Linked DNA regions of Mus musculus. The protein of the gene in region 2 interacts with the protein of the main gene of each other region in a pairwise test. Links are inferred from orthologs where the notes say so. Each region holds a gene or a part of one and is shown on either strand. Other genes may lie near its edges.

What was found. The genes of interacting proteins can lie anywhere in the genome.
Region 1: the proteins of Tcap (region 2) and Trim55 interact in a two-hybrid assay, tested with the Homo sapiens proteins (2 studies listed by BioGRID and IntAct). The link is inferred for Mus musculus from reciprocal best matches to the Homo sapiens genes TCAP and TRIM55.
Region 3: the proteins of Tcap (region 2) and Lamtor5 interact in binary tests that used the Homo sapiens proteins (3 or more experiments, as listed by UniProt). The link is inferred for Mus musculus from reciprocal best matches to the Homo sapiens genes TCAP and LAMTOR5.

Annotation. Positions count from the first base shown.
Region 1 is NC_000069.6:19,657,960-19,661,479, forward strand, and holds part of Trim55 (tripartite motif-containing protein 55), read left to right. Parts: intron 1-1,168; coding exon 1,169-1,334; intron 1,335-3,520. UniProt on the Homo sapiens protein: E3 ubiquitin ligase that plays an important role in regulating cardiac development and contractility, muscle growth, metabolism, and fiber-type differentiation.
Region 2 is NC_000077.6:98,382,479-98,385,462, forward strand, and holds Tcap (telethonin), read left to right. Parts: upstream 1-1,332; 5' UTR 1,333-1,368; coding exon 1,369-1,478; intron 1,479-1,673; coding exon 1,674-2,067; 3' UTR 2,068-2,475; downstream 2,476-2,984. UniProt on the Homo sapiens protein: Muscle assembly regulating factor. Mediates the antiparallel assembly of titin (TTN) molecules at the sarcomeric Z-disk.
Region 3 is NC_000069.6:107,281,858-107,284,602, forward strand, and holds the end of Lamtor5 (ragulator complex protein LAMTOR5), read left to right. Parts: intron 1-51; coding exon 52-169; intron 170-1,777; coding exon 1,778-1,838; 3' UTR 1,839-2,225; downstream 2,226-2,745. UniProt on the Homo sapiens protein: As part of the Ragulator complex it is involved in amino acid sensing and activation of mTORC1, a signaling complex promoting cell growth in response to growth factors, energy levels, and amino acids.

The DNA of each region.
Region 1 (3,520 bases), on a different chromosome or scaffold from region 2:
CACAATCTATCTTTACACATCTGAATGATATATATATATATTGGTTTCACATAGATACATTTACATTATACAGTGTACATGTACAATCCACACACATACTTGAAACAAAACCTTCATGTGTTAATACTTTGAATTCTCCCTACAAGTAACTCTCAGTTCGGTGTTCTATTCCAGATTTTAGCAATCCTGTCCATTAATTGATAAATTGATTTCCTATCCATATAATCCTGTGCTTTTTAAGAAACGTAGTTCAATGGCAATGGGGAAAATGTAGTGGTTGTAGTGAGATGCTTCAAAATAGCTATATTTGGGAATATGAGGAAACGTTTGAATTTGGGTTTATTTTCAATTTCTAACAATCTGAGCCGTAACTTTAAAATGTTTACATGTACTCATTTGTAGTGTGTGTGTGTGTGTGTGTGTGTGTGTGTGTGTGTGTGTTTGTGTGTGTAATAGTTATTCATAGAGGACAACTTACAGCACTCAGTTCTCTCCTTCTACCATGTAGGTCCTGGGAGTGAACTCAGACCATCAGGCTTGGTAGCAAGTGTCCTCCTTACCCATTAAAGCCCTCTGGCCTGGCTGTCTTTATATGGGATCCATCAGATATTCTGGGTTTTATGTAAGGAGGCTGCACCCACACCTATCTAGTTTTGTTTCTTCTTGGCCCCTCAATTCTCAGACTTGTAGGTCGGAAAGGTTTCCGGGGCTATAGGCTGGAGGAGCAGCACCAAGCGATTCCACTAACATAAAATGGAGATGCATTTTATCAGTGGTTTCCTCTTCTTCACCCATAGGAAGATCGCGTGAGGAACCTGTAAGCTCATCTGTGGGCACAGAGCTGGAGTGAGTTCCAAATGGCTGGCCAGAGACTAGTGTTGAACTTTTAGGAATTCCACAGGGCAGTTTTATAATTTTGAACTGATGCGAACACACTATCAAATTAGATAAATGCTAATTGAAGAATGTCATACATCAGTGTCTTTGTTCCCAAGTGCTCAAGCAGATGGAGATTTGTCAGCACTTCTCACCGGACAAATAGAAGGGCTCTGGGAGTCTTCAGGATACGGTTGGGAGGTTAGGGACCAATAGGGTTTACAAAGTTTGTCACCCCTCTGCTTTGCCCTGGTGGAGGTTGATAGCTATTTATCGTCTTATCTCCTCCCAGGCCAGAAAAAAAATTGGACCAGCCCATGTGTGAAGAGCATGAAGAGGAACGCATCAACATCTATTGTCTGAACTGTGAAGTGCCCACCTGTTCCTTGTGCAAGGTTTTTGGCGCCCATAAGGACTGCCAGGTGGCTCCCCTGACTCATGTGTTCCAGAGGCAGAAGGTAGGGAGTTCAATTCCTTTCTTCAGCCCACTTTAAGCACTAGTGAGTTAGCTCCATGTGACCAAAGAGGGGAGCAGCCTCATGGAAGGCCCCACAGGAAGTGGAAGGCCTCACAGGAAGGGGAAGGCCTCAGAGGAAGGGGATGGTCTCACAGGAAGGGGAAGGCCCCACAGGAAGGGGAAGGCCCCACAGGAAGTGGAAATCCCCACAGGAAATGGAAGGCCTCATGGAAGGCCCCACAGGAAGTGGAATGCCTCACAGGAAGTGGAAGGCCTCACAGGAGATGGAAGACCCCACAGAAAGTGGAAGGCCTCACAGGAAGGGGAAGGTCTCACAGGAAGTGGAAGGCCCCACAGAAAGGGGAAGGCCCCACAGGAAGTGGAAGTCCCCCAGGAAATGGAAGGCCTCATGGAAGGCCCCACAAGAAGTGGAAGGCCTCACGGGAAGGGGAAGGCCCCACAAGAAATGGAAGGCCTCACAGGAAATGGAAGGCCCCACAGAAAGTGGAAGGCCTCACAGGAAGTAGTCTCATAGTTTGTCTCAAATTCCATACTCTTCAAGGTTATGGAGTTGCCCAGAGAGGTGTGCAGAGAAAAATGAGAGAAAAGAGCAGAAGGGCTGGGTCACTCTCTGTGACATTTGGAGGTGGCTAAAGATATGTAGTGTTAGGGGGCTGATCAAATGCCAGCTGATAAAGATGACTCAGAGTTCAAACTGCAGATAAGAGTGAGATGCTCTTCACTCTCCCTTTTTATTGTTTATCAATAAATGTTCTCTTGCCTTCTTCAAAGCCTTTTCTCAACAATTTCTTGCCTATGAGACTCATAATCATGACACACATCTACAAAACAACTTTAAATCTGTGCCTCTTGCTGGCCTTCAAAGCATTCTTTGAATGTAGTACATGTCCTTCACCCCTGGAACTAGATCTGGGTCTCCTCACTCTAACTCAATACAGTCTTTATAGTATCTCATCAGCTCTGCACCATGTAGCAGCTGCCTAAAATTTATGCTTCTATGCAGGTTAAGGTGTGCATGTGTCAGTAGGCCCATCATGCCTCAGTTTCTTCCACTTAGAATCATTGATTTCAATTTTATATGAGAGACCAGAGTTGATATCATTTTGGAAGTCAAACTCTGTGACACCTGTTAGAACCAGTAACCATGATTTGTATTCGTTGGTGTTATTTATTTTCAACTTACTTTTTATTTTCTTTACCCTGACCCCTTAGCCCCAAGGCCCAGCATGGTAGAATTGTATGGTATCTGCTTTTGACTACAGTCATCACAGGTCTGGAAATCCATGGGATTGGCAGAGGGGCAGGAAGTTGGACTTCCAGCCTTTTCTTCTGTGGTCAGAGTAGCTTCTTGTTTAATAATAGGCTTCCAAGCTACCTTCTACATGTAGAGAAGACTGTAGGTTTCAAATGCCTTACACCCAGATTTATTAAACATCTCCTTTCAAATGTGGGAAAATTCAGGTTTATATTGGTATGTCTTTCTCAAAAATCTGGAGAAGTTTAGGTCAAAGGGAGAGGAGAGCCAGATTTCCCTAGTCCCCATTCTGCACTTCTTGTGGCTCCAAGTCCTGTTTAGGAGGATGGTAAATAGGAACAGAAAAATACTTTTGGGGTCAAAAGAACACAGGGATTTTAGAGTTGCATTGTCTCTGCTAAAGCCAGCCATATGTTACAGTTTTAAGTTTGTGCGACAGTCTAGTGAGCATTTGCATGTATCTACACTGCATTAGCATAGTAGGATTGAAATATACATACACCGGATAGGTGAATACTTACTGCATTTATTGCTCAAGTAAAACTAGTACTGAACTGCACTAGACAAACAATTCATTTTGAGTTCCAAATGTCACATATTTGTGTCTATCTCATTGTTCCACTTACGCAATGTTTAGAAGCCTCCAACTTCAATATACTATTATAGATAGCTTATAATTAGGTTTTCTTTGTGTTTTTAACAGAATCTAGTTCTCCATCAATAATGTTAAAATTATGGAGCCTCATCCAACACAAATCCAAGCATATATCAAAGTTTTCTTGCAATATCAAGAAGCTCACAGATTTCTCATGACTGGCTCCAGCCTCAGTCCTTAGATGGGATTAATTATATTTTCTGGGTTTTGGATAAAGAGTAATATCCCACACATACCTCTTACAGGTCCTCAATTA
Region 2 (2,984 bases):
GGAGAGAGGGAGAGAGAGAGAGAGAGCCTGAGCGAGCTAGTCCCCTCCCAGGTGAAGCAGTGGAACTGCCCAGTCCCAGAGTTCATTCCACCGTGGCTAGAAAAGTAGATAAGGGACTGGAGAGATGGCTCAGCAGTTAAGTGCACTGAGTTCAATTCCCAGCAACCACATGGTGGCTCACAACCACCTGTAATGGGATCTGATGCCCTCTTCTGGTGTGTCTGAGACATGACAGTGTACTCATATACTTTAATTAAATAAAATCTTTTTAAAAAGAAAGAAAAGAAAGGAAGGAAGGAAGGAAGGGAGGAAGGAAGGAAGGAAAGAAAGAGAGAGAGAGAGAAAAGGAAGGAAGGAAAAAAAGAAAGGAAGGAAGAAAGGAAGGAAGAAAAAGAAAAAAGGAAGGAAGGAAGGAAGAGAAAGGAAAGAAAGAAAGAAAGAAAGAAAGAAGGAAAAAAAGAAAGAAAGAAAGAAAGGAAGGAAGGAAGGAAGGAAGGAAGGAAGAAAGAGAAAGAAAAGCAGATAAAGGGAGACTTGGAAAGGGGTAGAGACTGCTCCATGATTATATAAAATAGAGCCAGCTTGAGGCTGGTCTGGATCTCCTAACCCTGTTCAATGGGCTTTCTCTGTTTCTGTCTCACAGTGTTTCTCTCCATGCAGGCAGAGGAGAAGGGGCCACCTCCCCCACTCTTACCTCCTTCACCCCGACTGGTGGGATTTAGGAGAACACTTCTCTAATGATTGGCCCTGAGGAATGAAAGCTCACAGACTCATACCCAGAGGTCGGGTGTGGCAGAAGTGTCCTCTCCCCTGCTGGTGTGTTGCTTTCTGTACAGGCAACCCGAAGACTCGGTTATGTGATCCTTCTGGTCAAGGGACCTCACTATGGTATGTGCCCTTGAGCTCAGGAAGGAGAGACGATCCGGGTAGCATGGGGCAGATCGAGGAGGGCATCAGTTCCTGCTTCTCCTGTTCTGTTTACAGACAAGCTGCTGTCCTCCCTGAGCAAGGGGGGAGCAGAGGAAGACAGTGCCAAGGTGGCACGAGGCTGCCCATGTGCCTGGTCCGAGGTGGTGTTTGCAGCATGCCAGACACCCAGAGGTGCTACTCTGAGAACCCAGGTCCCCAACAGAGCATCTTGCAGGCTTTGAAAGCTGACCTCTGACCTGGGAGCAACCAGAATCTGGGTACCCCAACCCCCGCCCCGGACTCAGAGCCCCATCACCACCAGTGAGTCTTGGCTCTGCTTATAGCATCTGACGCCAGAGGGGCTGAAAATAGCCCCTGGAGAAGGGGGAGAGGGGGAAGAAGGGGCTATTTAAAGGGCTCTGGAGGAGCAGGACATAGCAGAGGGAGCAATCAGAAATCATGGCCACTTCAGAGCTGAGCTGCCAAGTGTCTGAGGAGAACCAGGAACGCAGGGAAGCCTTCTGGGCTGAGTGGAAAGACCTGACTCTGTCTACCCGGCCGGAAGAGGGGTGAGTGTGAATCATTGGGAGGCTCTGCCTCTGCTCCCCCAAAGCACCTGCTACATATCAGAGTACAAGCCCCTGAAGTTTCTGGGGCCCCTCCCCTGCTCCAGGGAACTAGCTATGCCAGGGAGACCCCACTTAGCCCAAGACCAGAGAAGAGCTGCCCTCAGTTCACCACCTTTGTCTCCTTTCCACTTTCAGATGCTCCTTGCACGAGGAGGATACACAGAGGCATGAGACCTACCACCGGCAGGGACAGTGTCAGGCGGTGGTACAGCGCTCACCATGGCTGGTGATGCGCCTGGGTATCCTCGGCCGTGGGCTACAGGAATACCAGCTGCCGTACCAGCGGGTGCTGCCCCTACCCATCTTCACGCCCACCAAGGTGGGGGCCTCCAAGGAGGAGCGCGAGGAGACCCCCATCCAGCTTCGGGAGCTGCTGGCCCTGGAGACGGCCCTGGGCGGCCAGTGCGTGGAGCGCCAGGACGTGGCTGAGATCACAAAGCAGCTTCCCCCTGTGGTGCCAGTCAGCAAACCCGGGCCCCTGCGCCGTACCCTGTCTCGATCCATGTCTCAGGAAGCTCAGAGAGGCTGAGATGGACTGTGTGACTCAGACTCCACTGTGTCTGTCTCAGGCTAGGCACTTCCTGGCTAGGACAATGGAGGAGAGCTGCTGGCAGTGGCTGCTTTGTAGTTTGCCCAGAGGTGGGAGCTATGGGAGGAGGGAGCCCGAGGCCAGGATGCCTAGGTGTCCTGAGTCCCCACAGGGAAGGGAGCGAGGATGGCGGGCACTAGGAGTGGAGAGCTGAGCACCCTCAGCCCCAGAAGAAGAGACAAGAGATCCTGGTGAGAGGAGAGGCCCCTGGGAATGGCCTGCTCGGGAACAGATGGACTAGGAGAAGGATGTGCAACGCTCTGGAAAGGAGGGGGATGTGAAGAGGGTGGAAGTGGGCAGGCCCCCAGCACCCTCTGGTAGCACTGCAATAAATGCTCAGCCATGTTCCACGCTTCTCTCTTTCTTTGTGGTTGGGGTGGGCATGAATGTCCACCGTGCACTTCTGGGAACAGCCAAGCATTGGAGCTAAATCTGGCATAACCAGAGGGTACACTCCATGCTTAGGGGTGGGGTACAGGGGCAGAGCTGTAAACAGGGGGAATGTCTGGTCCCCCTTCCTGTGCCACTGCCCAGCCCTGGCTTCATGTCCAGTTCCTGGCACTGGAGCGTGTCTAGCAGGCCAGCTGGCTTCAAGGTTTGTTTAAATGATATCTGTGGAGGAGGTTATGGAAGGGGCTGGCACCAGGGCCGTCCTTGGCTGTGCCTTGGGGTGTGGATGGGGTCAGTGACCCTAAGGCCTGTCAGTTGTAGATCCAGACAGAATCAATCCTTGGCTGGCATCAGGTGTCCCACTGTCCCTGGCCTGGGTGGGAGGACAGGGTTTAAGTTCCTGTCTGTGACCTCTGCAGCTGTTGTGATGATCCCCATCCCAGCCTGGGTGTCTGGCCTTTGGGATA
Region 3 (2,745 bases), on a different chromosome or scaffold from region 2:
ACTAAACTATAGGTTTATATTAATTTTTAGACACTTCTCACTATTCTCTAGGCCGTGGTACCCTGTCGGATGAGCACGCTGGAGTCATATCTGTTCTAGCCCAGCAGGCAGCTAGGCTAACCTCTGACCCCACCGACATCCCTGTGGTATGTTTAGAATCAGATAATGGGTGAGTACATACCAGCACACCCCTTTCTTTTTGTTCTGAAAAACTTGATTGGGCTTTCCCCTGCATTCAGTGGTAGTTCATTAGTCAATGCACCACAGAGCCATTGGACATCCAGGCCTCATGAGAACAGAACTTCATTAAAATAAGAACTATCAGTTTGCCACTCCAATAAAGGAAAAACAGTAAAAACACAAAAAATGATTAGCTGCATAGAATTCCCTAAAGTAAGGTCTTAAAGATATTCCTAGATAAAGATCTTTATTCAGATGCTAAGTGATAAAAGGAAGAAAACAAAACTGTGGGGCTGGAGAAATGCCAGTGCTTAAGAGCCACAGTCCCGAGGATGAGAGCTTATATACTAGTACCCCAGCACCCACACAACAAACACCTGCAACCTCAGCCCTCAGTCAGGGGCGAGGGGGTGGGCAGAGATGGGAGGATTGTTGGAGCTGGCTGTCCTCCAGTGTAGCAGAGAAAATGAGGCTCAGGCTCAGGGATAAGACCACACATCAAAGGATAGTTGCACAGTAATAGAGGACACCCAGCACCTTCTTCTGACCTCCGTGCCTATACATAGGTGTGTGTACATGCACACACCTGTATGTGCACACCTGCACAGAGATAGAGTATGTGAACCTTTAAAAATGCATACTTTGGTCAGTTTGGGGCAAGGGAAAAAGAAGATATTAATATCGATATATGTATAAATATATACAAATTAAAATTAGAACCAGGAGCCAGCAAGATGGCTAAGCAAATAGACGTGCTTGCTGCCAAGTCTGATGACTGGAACTCCATACCTGGAACCCACATGACTGAGGAGACAAACACCCTGACGTTGTCATGCAAGCAGTGGCACACATACAGACCCCCAAAATAAGTAACATAAATAAGAATTAAGAGCTGGGGAGGCGGCTCAGTGGTTGAAAGCACATGGCACTCTCCCAGAGGACCTGTGTCAGTTCCCAGCACCCACATTTGGAAGTTCACAACCACTTATAACTCCAACTCCAGAGGAACCAACACCACTCGCTGGCCTTCTCAGGCACCAGTGTGTATAATGACACACACGGACAGACACATACATATATTTTTTAAAAATCTAATCTAAAAATTAGGACCAGGAAGGAGGCTAGGCTAGTGATAGCATGTGCAAGGCTCTAGATTCTAACTCCAACAATACCACCAAAACCTCCAGGAAAAAATAAAAATCAGAATCATGTTGAGTAGTAGGGTTAAGGATTACTTTTTAAAAATTTTTTTTAATTAAAAGGATTAATTTCTTTATGTTATAATTAGATTTGCCCACAATCCTCAACTGTTCATGCCCATCTGTGCTATTTATTTATTCATGTTTCTTAGCGGAAGACTTGGCTCTTGGTTTGAGAATGTAGTCCCCTTTCTGGGTGGGAAGTATGGAGAGGCTATGGCACTAGGGGTTGGTGACGGACACCTGTCAACAGGGACTGTTCATATTTGGTTTTGTATGAGAATATAGATAAATATGCTGTCATCTAAACATAAATATATTTAAACTAAATAAATTTAATCTTACACTGAGACACATGCATTAAGAGTTTGCTGAATATTTTCTTTTTGGCTTTTCAGGAACATTATGATCCAGAAACACGATGGCATCACAGTGGCTGTGCACAAAATGGCCTCTTGACATCTGATGTCAGCTCTCCAGTGGCCTCTCACCGGGATTCAGTCATGCCTGTCTCAGCTCATTTGTAAAACTATTAAAGTTCCAGAAATAGGCCATTCAGTTAATGTCCAATGTGGACTCCCTTATTTATATGACAGCCAGTTACCAAGACATCAGTTAGAGAGGAGCAATTGTTTGGGCTTTTGTCACTCTGCTCTTTGGTGACAGTCACTGTAGTCCAGGATCACAGCCCATCATGGCCTAGAACTATGTAGCCCAGGCTGACTTCAAATGTATGGTCTTCCTGCTTTAAACACATACATCCTGGAATTAAAGCATTTGTCACTAAGGTTTAGGTCACTTTGTATATAGAACTTCATTATGGCCAATAAACCTGTTCTGAGGAAAGTTTGGTTCATTTCTGGTCTTTTAAAATTCCTACTTAATGCTCACTTTTCTTTTTTCAGTTATCAAATTGTGGGTTTTTTGGTTTTTTTTTTTTTTTTTTTTTCTCTAAAAGATCTCTATCCCAAACTACTTGTTTCTCTTTCGGTGTCTTAAAATGTCTGTGTTCTTATGCAAGGGAAGATGGATCAAATATTTCCCTCAACCTAAGTGACAAAGGACATATCATTGAGTCCTTAGTAAGACCAGAAACTTATTTCTCATTATAAAATAGGATAGGTACTCCTGGTTGTTGTGTGTAACCAAAGCCTAGGGGCTAGCATGGTCACCATCAGAACTTAAGAACTTAACTGACAGAAGGCGTGTGTGCTTTGCTTTGTTTGGTTGGTTGGTTGATTTTTCTGAGACAGGGTTTCTCTGTGTAGCCCTGGCTGTCCTGGAATTTGGTAGACCACGTTAGCCTCAAACTCAGAGATCTGCCTATCTCTGCCTCCCAAGTGCTAGGAATAAAGATGTGCGCCAC